2 linked regions of the Zea mays genome follow. The protein of the gene in region 2 interacts with the protein of the main gene of each other region in a pairwise test. Links are inferred from orthologs where the notes say so. Each region holds a gene or a part of one and is shown on either strand. Other genes may lie near its edges.

Region 1 (6,586 bases), on a different chromosome or scaffold from region 2:
AAAGGTATATAAATGAGCTATGTGTGCAAAGTATCAATCAAAATTTCGAGAATCAAGAATGTTTAGCTCATTTCTAAGTTTGGTAAAGGTTTTCTCATCTAATGGTTTGGTAAAGATATCGGCCAATTGATCTTTGGTGTTAATATAGGCTATCTCGATATCCCCCCTTTGTTGGTGATCTCTCAAAAAGTGATACCGAATGGCTATGTGCTTAGTGCGGCTGTGTTCAACGGGATTATCCGCCATGCGGATTGCACTCTCATTATCACATAGGAGAGGGACTTTGCTAAATTTGTAGCCATAGTCCCTAAGGGTTTGCCTCATATAAAGCAATTGCGCGCAACAAAGGCCTGCGACAATGTACTCAGCTTTGGCGGTAGAAAGAGCTACTGAGTTTTGTTTCTTTGAAGCCCAAGACACCAGGGATCTCCCCAGAAACTGACAAGTCCATGATGTGCTCTTCCTATCAATTTTATACACTGCCCAATCAGCATCGGAATATCCTAATAAATCAAACGAGGATCCCTAGGGGTACCAAAGACCAAACTTAGGTGTATGAACTAAATATCTCAAGATTCTCTTCACGGCCCTAAGGTGAATTTCCATAGGATCGGCTTGGAACCTTGCACACATGCATACAGAAAGCATAATGTCCGGTCGAGATGCACATAAATAGAGTAAAGATCCTATCATCGACCGGTATACCTTTTGATCTACGGATTTACCTCCCGTGTCGAGGTCGAGATGCCCATTGGTTCCCATGGATGTCTTGATGGGCTTGGCATCCTTCATTCCAAACTTGGTGAGTATGTCTTGAATGTACTTTGTTTGGCTGATGAAGGTGCCTTCTTGGAGTTGCTTGACTTGAAATCCTAGAAAATACTTCAATTTCTCCATCATAGACATCTCGAATTTTTGTACCATGATCCTACTAAACTCTTCACATATAGATTTGTTAGTAGACCCAAATATAATATCATCAACATAAATTTGGCATACAAACAAATCTTTTGCAATAGTTTTAGTAAAGAGAGTAGGATCGGCCTTTCCAACTTTGAAGCCATTAGTGATAAGAAAATCTCTTAGGCATTCATACCATGCTCTTGGGGCTTGCTTGAGCCCATAAAGCGCCTTAGAGAGTTTGTAAACATGGTTAGGGTACTCACTATCTTCAAAGCCGGGAGGTTGCTCAACATAGACCTCTTCCTTGATTGGTCCATTGAGGAAGGCACTCTTCACGTCCATTTGATAAAGCTTAAGCCATGGTAAGTAGCATAGGCAAGTAATATACAAATTGACTCAAGCCTAGCTACGGGTGCATAGGTTTCACCAAAATCCAAACCTTCAACTTGTGAATATCCCTTGGCCACAAGTCGTGCTTTGTTCCTTGTCACCACACCATGCTCATCTTGCTTGTTGCGGAATACCCACTTGGTTCCTACAACATTTTGGTTAGGACATGGAACTAAATGCCATACCTCATTCCTTGTGAAGTTGTTGAGCTCCTCTTGCATCGCCAGCACCCAACATCGCCTGACCAGTCTGTTGGTGAACAGTACGCCCGTGCCGAGCGGCGCACCGTGCTCGTTACCCCTTCTATAAGAAGCTTCCCTTGCACGTCGAGGATACGCAGATCTCGGATGTCGGGGCCCAAGAAGAGTGCCCCAGCAGCACACATTTGTGGCTCCAAGTGCTATATTCGTTATGTCCCTGGGCCCACATGTCGGGGCTCAATACCTTTGTGCATGCCCCCCTTCGGCTACAAAAGGGGAGGCATGCGGCGTTACAAGACAGACCCAATCTTAGGCAGACACTCACAAGTTCATACAAGCTCCCGAGCAATACATCACACAGTGGAGTAGGGTATTACGCTCCAGCAGCCCGAACTACTCTAAACCCCCGCGTGCTCCCGTGTGTTGATCCACCAGTCTCGTAACAAGCAAAACGCTTAGGCCCCTCCTCTTTTTAGGATTTAGGGCGGGTGCAATCCGCCACCCGGTCAGAGAGATTTCCTCTCCGACACGTGTGATCGGTTGAGATGGAAAGGCGATGACAAGGGCGATGCGGGTGATGTTCATCATTAATGGCAATGATGCCTCTATACCCTGACTAACAAACGTTATGAATATGTATACCTCACATATACTATGTAAACACAGCATGTATTAAAAATAAAAAATATAATATATAACTAGAGAAAAATAAAAATATATGAACATATACAGAGAACATAAAAGTAAAAGAGAGATAAAAAATAAATAAAATAAAAGTGATATAAACGAAAAATAAATAAAATAAAAGTGATATAAACGAAAAATAAATAAAAGAAACATAAAAACAATAGTAAAACCCTATAGAAAACAAAAAGGAAATGCAGATGAAAGGAAAGAAAAAAATGCAACACGCTGCCTTGACGGCGGACATCAGTGCCGGCCTGCCGGCCATGCTCTGACTCCTCCAGGCCCAACGATAGCCCAACAACAATTAAGGGCCCTCTGCCACACCGCAGGCTACCCCAACATGCCAATCCTTGTTGCCTCCGGAGACCTGGCCTCAGCCCCTTCCCCGGCCATTCGAGCGCCGCCCTGCTCGCCTGCCCTTGCCCACTACGCCCTCTTGATTTCTCCCTCCATTCCGATATATTTAAGCGAAAAAAAATCCGATAAGCCAAGCCAAACCCAAACCCAACCATGGCGTGCATGCCGGCTGTGTCTGCCCCCTCCGTCCTCGCGCCGGCACCGGCGTCGACCCGCACCCACCTCTGCTACTCAACGGAAATGCGACGCGGCGCGCTCTCCCTCCGTCCCGCCCGCGCTATCCCCACGTTGAGGCTCGGCGGCCACCGCGACGCCCGTGGCGCTGTCGTCGTCCGCGCCACTGCGGCAGAGGTATTTGTGGCTACGGGCACCTACGGCGCTCCCCGAGGCCAAGCGCGTTGTGACAGACTGCCGGTGTTTCGCTGCAGGGAGCCGTGGAGCTGCAGGCCAAGGTGACGAGCAAGTGCTTCTTCGACGTGGAGGTCGGCGGGGAGCCTGCGGGCCGCATCGTCATCGGGCTCTTCGGAGAGGTCGTACCTAAGACCGTCGACAACTTCCGTGCGCTCTGCACTGGTGCGTACGCTATGGATTGGATTTGAATCAGCGCTGGTCACAATAGCTTTACGAGTCGAATTTACCGAGCATTGCTGCTCTTTTGGTTGCGGGGCAGGTGAGAAAGGGTACGGCTACAAGGGCTGCTCCTTCCACCGGATCATCAAGGACTTTATGATTCAAGGCGGGGACTTCCAGCAAAACAATGTAAGCATTTTTTACCTGTACGCAATTGGTCTGAATGGCCACTGCAGATTTTGTTAAATATTCCTACAACTGAAGAAGATGTGAGTAGAATTGAAGTTCCTATTCATCATTCAACATAGTAAATCATTGCTCACAAGTAACAATAGAATGAACACCAACATGGATGGAAAACCTGAAAGCAGGACAAAATCAGTTATGATTTTTTTGCTGCCAAGACATCCAGTCTATTAAGCTCGGCCAGATAAAGTTATATTGCACCTATTGATTTGCATACTCGCTGCAAGTCTCCTAATAGTTAAGTTTCATGCCTTGCTCAAAAATCAGTTTATTAGTTATGGGATCTACTATGGATTTTAGGATGACTATCACCAGTCAATGGCAATCATATGGGGCACATGTTTATTGGCATATGGGTTTAAGATATAGAACTAGAACCTATATTTCCAGTGCATCAAGCCCTCCACAATCCATGGAATTTGTTGAGCCTGTTTGGATCAGATTCATATTGTTTCTATGGGCAAGCTTGTGGAACATTGAGCATTATCTCATATTCTCATCCAATGTCTATTAGGATATCACTCTGTACTATAATCGCACCTTGAAGTTAGCATCCAGCTATCTGCATTGGATCACTAAATATCTATTCTCCAATGTGTAGATGACCATTTTACAAACCATTAGCACAATGCAGCTCTCTTTATGCAATTTGTCACTTCTATTTCCACCGTTAATCATAGTCAATAATGATACATCCATTGGGCTCTGTCTGCAAAACTGCTCCATTGATTGTGTCTCACTACATAAGCTTAGATTTTCTTTAGTTTTTAGTCACAAGTTTCGTATAATACGGCAACGATGATGACTGTGAAAATCATGGTTATTAAGGCGTCGCTAAAGCGGTAAGGCGAGCATAGCCACGTAAGGCGTCCTATCGCCTTGCCGCGGGAGTAATGCGAGGACAGAGGGCGCTGCGGCAGCGCGCGCAGGGCGCAGTGGTGACGGCGGCGTGCATGGGGCTGCTGCGGCAGCGCACAGGGCGCAGCGGCGAGGGTTTACAGCCCAAGCCGGCAAGTCAGAGGAAGGGGGGACCTGTGGGGAGGGAGAGAGATGAAGCTGTGGGGAGGGAGAGAGATGGAGGTGCAGGGGAGAAATAAGCAGCGGCCGGCGGCTGCACTGCACGGGAGGAGAGGGAGCTGTTTTAACCTAAAACTGTTGCTGTTGGGTTGGGCTAGCTGGGCCGACTTATTGTAGACTTTTTTTTCCTTTTTTTTCCTATTTTTCTCTCCTACTAGACTGAAACAGGCTTACTAGACCTTATAGTTGTGCTAGTTTACTTATTAATTTTGAATTATTGTTATATAAATCATATTTGATCTAATTTTTTATATTACTATATAATTAAAGCATTATATTACTATATAATTAAGACGTCACGCCTTACACTTTACCGCCTGAAGGGTAAAAAAAGGGTCGGTTGCCTTACCGCCTTAATAACTATGGTGAAAATATAGATTGGTTTAACTCATAGTACAAAATTGATTGTCGGGCGCCGAAGTTGCGCATTGAGTTCATGTTACTGAGAATTACAAAACAAATAATGATGATGAAAACAGAACATCTCTGCTCTTTATCAATACGGAACCAAATCAATATGCTGATGGTGGGTGAGGTAGGCTTCCACCTTAGACCTTGTTTGGATACTCTCGTATTCATCTCAATACATATGGATTGAGGTGAATACGAGAGTATCCAAACATTCATAGGTTTGCACCATGGAACTATGCAAACTAGCAAAATCTGCCACTGGCTACTTATTAGATATGGGTAACATTATACTTTTCAAAGAATTGACAACCAAATTGTGAAAGGTGTAAGAATTTACCTGTGAAAGTGAAATAAAGTTTGGTGAAGTTCAATAATGTTTATTCAGAGAAGCTAGTTCTGTCAGGAGCTAAAAGTCGTCTTCACTTATTCTAGTGCTAAGTTATTAGTGGTGACCACAGGGTACTGGTGGGAGAAGTATTTATGGTGAATGCTTTGATGATGAAAATTTTACACGTAAGTGATTCTTAGCCTTCTATTTTATTACCTTCTACTGTTGCAGAAAGTAGTGCTATTAATTCTGTTCTCATTAAGATGAATTTTTGTGTGAACTTTCTCTAGTTTTTTTGTTAATAATGCAGACAGGAGCTTACAGGAAACTGATTCTGAATGAAGTTCTGTTGAATTGCAAAAATGTCGATGTGTCTGGTGCCATTTCGCTAGTTCTCAAACTGAGAGGTTCTTTGGCTTACTTTGTTGCAGTGAAGCATGTTGGCCCTGGTGTGCTAAGCATGGCAAATGCTGGCCCCAACACAAATGGAAGTCAATTTTTCATTTGCACTGTGAAGGTAAGGCATTCTTGATTTGTAGCAATGATAGAATTCATTTTGCTCACTATTTTGCCTGCTGGAACATCTTAATTTTTGCTGCATTAAGAATCTAGCTTTTGAGTAATGATTCACATTCAAATATAATGCTGATCAATGAATTTAACATATGTATTTCACAAAATTATTTGAACTCTGTCTACCAAAAATCTATTAATACACTTCGATTTGTTACATGTCATAAGTGAGCACCATGACATTTTCAACTCGATAACATTGATTGAGTTTGTCGTCGTTGTTGTTTATGTATGATCAAGACAAGATTCAAGGAAGGTAGCATATGTATACATCCAAATCTGTTGAGGATAATATATCATGAATAAACTATCCCTTATCAAAACATAGCCTTGGACTTGTTATGTTTGTTTTCTTCAGCAAGAACCGGCCATCGAGGTCTTTTATATCGTGGGTACTTGGCTCACACTGAGACAATAATGGAATTCTTCTCAGACACCGTGGTTGGACAACCGTCACGTCGTGTTTGGACACGTATTAGAGGGGATGGACGTGGTGAAGCAGCTTGAATCGCAAGAGACCAGCAGGTCCGATACTCCCAAGCAGCCTTGCCGAATCGTTAACTGTGGCGAGGTCCCCCTGGACAGCTGAGCGAGGTCAGTAGCTCAGTTTTGGGTTTAATTGTTGATTCGTGCAAAGCATACGGAAGTGGAAGTAGAAGTGCCGATGGTTTGTTTGGTTTGTTTTTTTTTTTTCATTTTCAGCGAAATGCTCTTGGTGAGTTTGAACCTGAGGTACCGCGAAGTCTTCTCTTACGTTAGAGCGTCGACGCCCATTTGTGGTAGCATCATTCGGTCAGTTGAGTTATGTGTACGTGCCGTGACGGAAGTTTAATTACTCAGATGT
Region 2 (5,335 bases):
GCCGAGCCCGAGCCATGGGGTCGGGCGAGGCGGAAGTCGTTCGGCCGAGGCCAGGGCGGAGTCCGAGCCCTGAGGCGGAAGTCGTTCGGCCGAGGCCAGGGCGGAGTCCGAGCCCTGGGGTCGGGCGAGGCGGAAGTCGTTCGGCCGAGGCCAGGGCGGAGTCCGAGCCCTGGGGTCGGGCGAAGCGGAAGTCGTTCGGCCGAGGCCAGGGCGGAGTCCGAGCCCTGGGGTCGGGCGAGGCGGAGCTTCGTCGTCTTTCGGGTCTTAGCCCGAGTCCGAGCCCTGGGGTCGGGCGAAGCGGAGTTTCGTCGTCTTCCGGGTCTTAGCCCGAGTCCGAGCCCTGGGGTCGGGCGGAGCGGAGTTCGCCGTCTTCCGGGTCTTAGCCCGAGTCCGAGCCCTGGGGTCGGGCGGAGCGGAGTTCGCCGTCTTCCGGGTCTTAGCCCGAGTCCGAGCCCTGGGGTCGGGCGGAGCGGAGTTCGCCGTCTTCCGGGTCTTTGCCCGAGTCCGAGCCCTGGGGTCGGGCGGAGCGGAGTTCGCCGTCTTCCGGGTCTTAGCCCGAGTCCGAGCCCTGGGGTCGGGCGGAGCGGAGTTCGCCGTCTTCCGGGTCTTAGCCCGAGTCCGAGCCCTGGGGTCGGGCGGAGCGGAGTTCGCCGTGGCGCCTTTGGCAAGGCCTGACTGCCTGTCAGACTCACTCTGTCGAGTGGCACTGCAGTCGGAGTGGCGCAGGCGGCGTTGTCCTTCTGTCAGACTGGCCAGTGGAGCGGTGGAGTGACGGCGGTCACTTCGGCTCTGCCGGGGGCGCGTGTCAGGATGAAGGTGTCAGGCCACCTTTGCGTTAAATGCCCCTGCAATTTGGTCAGTCGGTGCGGCGATTTAGTCAAGGTTGCTTCTGAGCGAAGCCAAGGCCTCGGGCGAGCCGGTGATGTGTCCGCCATAAAAAGGGGGCCTCGGGCGAGACGGAAGTCTCTCGAGGTCGGCTGCCCTTGGCCGAGGCTAGGCTCGGGTGAAGCGTGATCGAGTCACTCGTGTGGACTGATCCCTGACTTAATCGTACCCATCAGGCCTTTGCAGCTTTATGCTGATGGGGGTTACCAGCTGAGAATTAGGCGCCTTGAGGGTACCCCTAATTATGGTCCCCGACATAAAGAATGACAATGTTTGGAGATCTAAAGAGCACTTTCAAGAAACTCTTTATACCCTTATTAACAGAAATAGAGGCTTGAGTGAAAAAAGCCCTCCAATGACTTCTTTAATAAAAATAACCTCCATCTTTATATCCTTATTAATAGAAATAGAACACTTTCACTGAATTTTTCATTAGCCATGAAGAGCGGAATTGGCTCTCTGCAGTATGCACAAGATATAGAAAAGTCTTTGAAGAGCGAATTGATATAGAGACCGATTTTTATTCAAATAACTTCCCAAATTATTATTTACGGAGCGTTTAGATCCCTTCATTTCAGAGAAATTAAAATTCATTTAATAAGGTAACCTATTTAGCTTGGAATTTGACATTTCATCACTTCCCAAAGTTCTATATAAGGTTATCTTAAATTAATGGAGTGGGGATGGGAAATGATTTTATGTATTACTAGAATTTGTTTCTACTATGTAACTTAAAAGACGATCTTAGACTCACTCCTTTATAGTAAAAATATAGCACATAAATATCTCCGACATCTTACTAATAATATTATACTGATATATTTTACATAAACCCTGAATTTTTTTAATATATATACCTAAATTATTATTATTAGAATGAAATTCAATTTCAATGATCCAAATGATGCATTATAGAAAAGTCTAAGAAAGACTAATAATTTATCCTCCTCGTCGCAGTGAAATGTTGTTATAGTATTGTCCACTTTCCTGTTCCACTCCATCCTAAACAGGAAAGTGACGTGTATTTATACCTACTCCCCCATACACAGAAAATAGTTTTGGTTTTGTCATATGACACAATTTTAGTAGTGTTAACAAGCCTGTAGTAAAACACACAAACATATTTAATATATAAAATAACTTATTGATTATACGATCTGATGTACACCGAATCTCCAGCGGGAAGATCTCTGGGCAGCCCCATAACCACACGGATCGCTGATACAAACACGCTGTGCCAGCTAAGTCCAACACAACAAAAAGTCACATGTACCACAACGTTTTCTCATACTCAACTAGATAAAGGTGAATGAGCGACCAAACAAATTATAAAAGGATCAAGCTTTTTTTAACTCATACGCCAAGTGTAATATTTATTATTGTGTAACACACAGATATTATACTAGTTAGACTATAAATCAGTGTTAGCAAGTTGATTTTAATCTACTAGGTAAAGATTCCCGCACATGAAGCTTAACATGTTTAGCGACCATTTATAATGCCAGGGGGACAACCCTCCCCAAATTCTCAATCTGGTTCGGGCTCCTGGATCGGACCCGAAAAACTGGTGAGATTTGACCTACAGCGGAGATGGCCACCGGCGACCTGCGCAGCCTCGCCACCGTCGCGGCCGCGGTGATCGCGTGCATGGGCTACGCCCGCTTCGCCGCGCGGCGACTCCGCCCGGTCCTGTCCCGCCTTGCAGCGTTCCTCCCGGTGCTCGCCGTCTTGCCTTTCCTCCCGCTCGCCTTCCGTGCGCTCCACCCGCGCGGCATCTCCGGCTTCTTCCTCGCCTGGGCCGCCGAATTCAAACTCCTGCTCCTCGCATGCGGCCAGCGCCCGCTCGATCCGAGCCTCCCGCTGCCCTCCTTCACCGCCATCGCCACCTTCCCCGTCACACTACGGGATCCCAAGAGCTCCGCCTCGAGGCCGGGCCTGGGGCTCGTGGAGTCCGCCTCCATGGCCGCGCTGCTCGCGGCCATCGTGTCGCTGTACCGGTACGAGGAGCGGATGAACGGTTACGTCCTGCTCACGCTCTACTCCGTGCACGTGTACCTCGCGCTCGAGCTCGTCCTGGCGGCGGCCGCGGCGGCGTCGCGCGCGCTGATGGGCCTGGAACTGGAGCCCCAGTTCGACCGGCCCTACCTCTCGTCCTCGCTGCGGGACTTCTGGGGCCGGAGGTGGAACCTCTCCGTTCCGGCGCTGCTCCGCCAGTGCGTGTTCCGCCCCGTGCGCGCGCGCCTCGGCGCCGCCGCGGGTGTGCTAGCTGCGTTCGTCGTCTCGGGCCTCATGCACGAGGCCATGTTCTCCTACCTCACGCTGCTGCGGCCGACGGGGGAGGCGGCCGCGTTCTTCACGCTGCACGGGGCGTGCGCGGTGGCGGAGGGGTGGTGGGCCGCGCACGAGGGGTGGCCGCGGCCGCCGCGCGCCATGGCCACGCCGCTGACACTGGCGTTCGTGGGCGTGACGGCCTTCTGGCTCTTCTTTCCTCCGCTCACAAGGCCCGGCGCGGACAAGCAGGCCATCGCGGAGTGCGAGGCCATGGTCGCTTTTCTGCGGGACACCGCAGCTTGGGCGGTCGACTCCGCCTGGTCAGTCTTGTCAAGCTGGTCGTAAATTGTGGTCCGCCGTCCGCAACAGGCGTGCGCTGCGCCTGCGCCTGCGCCTGCGCGTGCCGTGTGCTTTGTCGCCGTGGCATCTGTTTGCACTTTTGTTTTGGGATGGTGATAATTTCAGAAATATTCTAGATGAGGAAAATCTAGATGCATGAAAAATATATTGTAGTTGAAGTGTTCAGCAACTTTGTAGTTTTTTTAGATAATGTACAACTTTTATAGTTGCTGACCTTTTTATTTGAAAACGATTTATTATATGTCTAAATAATCAACCAAGACATGTTGACAGACCAGTCTTCCTAGTAGTTTGTTATGCAAGAACTGGAAACATCAGCACATCATCCAAAAAGTAAGTCTGTTTAATTACTTAGGAGGACTAAGGCACGGCGATCTACCCAGTTGCAACTTCATCAGGTTGTAGTATATCCCTCCAGGTCCGACGGCGATGAGCTCCCCGTGCCGCCCTCTCTCCGCCACCTTCCCGCCCCGCACCACCGCAATCATGTCTACCTTCTGCACCGTGGAGAGGCGGTGTGCCACCACCACACACGTCCGCCCCTGCAGCATCCTGTCGATAGCGTCCTGCACTAGCCTCTCCGACACGGTGTCCAGCGCGCTCGTCGCCTCGTCCAGCAGCAGGACCCGCGCGTTCTTCAATATCGCACGCGCCAGCGCGATCCGCTGCTTCTGCCCGCCGGACAGCTGCGCCCCTCGCTCCCCGACGCGCGCGTCGTAGCCGCCCTCCATCGCGCTGTAGCACGGCGGGATTGAAGAAGTTTTTCAGGTACAACAAAGGCGTGCGCACACCAACCAGCTGCAGAATCTGTACCTGATGAACTCGTGGGCGTTGGCAAGCTTGGCGGCACTAGTCACCTCGTCCTCGGTGGCGTGCTCGTCGCCGTACACTATGTTGTCGCGGATCGTGCCGGAGAACAGCGTCGGCTCCTGGCTGACGAGCGCGACGTGCGACCGGAGGTGCGCCAGGCTGCAGCTCCTGATGTCCCTGCCATCGATCAGCACCGAGCCTTTCTGCACGTCGTAGAAGCGCTCGATCAGCCCGATCACCGTGGACTTGCCGGATCCGCTCGGTCCGACGAGCGCCACAGTCTTCCCCGCGCCTATCTCGAGGCTGAACCCATCGAGCACGGTCGTCCCCGGCCGCGTCGGGTAGCTGAAGTGCACGTCCCTGAACTCGATTGTGCCTTTCATTTCCTTCTGCTGCTGCTGTTGCTTCCTCTTCTTCCTTGGTCCGTCGGCTTCGTCGCCGTCATCCTGGATCATCGGTTCACGGTCCAGCGTGTCCAGGATGGACCGCACGGCGTCACCGCCCTTGGCTAGGTCGGACGTCAAGCTGCCGGCGTCTGCGATCACCCGCCCCATGGTCATGAGCATGAAGAACACCTGGAACAGGTGCGTGGGAGTGATGAGGCCCTTGGCCATAAGCCTGCCTCCGTACCACAGCGCGAGCGCCATGCTGCCCGTGTTGCTGAACTGGCACAGGGACAGGCAGAAGCCGGAGTACCACGACTGCACCCTGTTGTCCTTCCTGGGCGCCTCATGCGCGGCCTCGTACAGGCGGAGCATCCGACGCTGCGACGAGAACGCGGTGATGGTCCGGTGGTTCACGACAGCCTCGCTGGCGAGCTGGCTGCCTTGCACCTGCGCCTTCTTGGCCTTCTTGGACAGGGCGGTCATCAGCACCTTCTTGAAGTAGAAGCTCGCGATTACCAGTGGATGCATAGCCATCATGACCACCGCGAGCCGCCACGACAGGGCGAGCGCAAGGGAGAAACCTAGCGCCGCGTTGGCGGACGCCTGCACCAGGAGGCACATGC

The links.
Region 1: the proteins of wax synthase (region 2) and peptidyl-prolyl cis-trans isomerase-like interact in binary tests that used the Arabidopsis thaliana proteins (3 or more experiments, as listed by UniProt). The link is inferred for Zea mays from reciprocal best matches to the Arabidopsis thaliana genes ASAT1 and ROC4.

Annotation. Positions count from the first base shown.
Region 1 is NC_050103.1:1,411,926-1,418,511, reverse strand, and holds the start of peptidyl-prolyl cis-trans isomerase-like, read left to right. Parts: upstream 1-2,712; 5' UTR 2,713-2,777; coding exon 2,778-2,888; intron 2,889-2,965; coding exon 2,966-3,110; intron 3,111-3,207; coding exon 3,208-3,296; intron 3,297-5,299; coding exon 5,300-5,354; intron 5,355-5,600; coding exon 5,601-5,686; intron 5,687-6,175; coding exon 6,176-6,331; 3' UTR 6,332-6,336; intron 6,337-6,444; 3' UTR 6,445-6,586. UniProt on the Arabidopsis thaliana protein: PPIases accelerate the folding of proteins. It catalyzes the cis-trans isomerization of proline imidic peptide bonds in oligopeptides. Required for the light-induced increase of thiol accumulation.
Region 2 is NC_050105.1:128,302,843-128,308,177, reverse strand, and holds wax synthase, read left to right. Parts: upstream 1-2,406; 5' UTR 2,407-2,475; coding exon 2,476-3,501; 3' UTR 3,502-3,631; downstream 3,632-5,335. Other genes in the region: ABC transporter B family member 15, read right to left, coding at 3,864-4,251, 4,330-5,335. UniProt on the Arabidopsis thaliana protein: Involved in the esterification of cycloartenol. Not implicated in the formation of sterol esters in flowers or during seed maturation. Has a substrate preference toward saturated fatty acyl donors (16:0 > 18:0 > 16:1 > 18:1).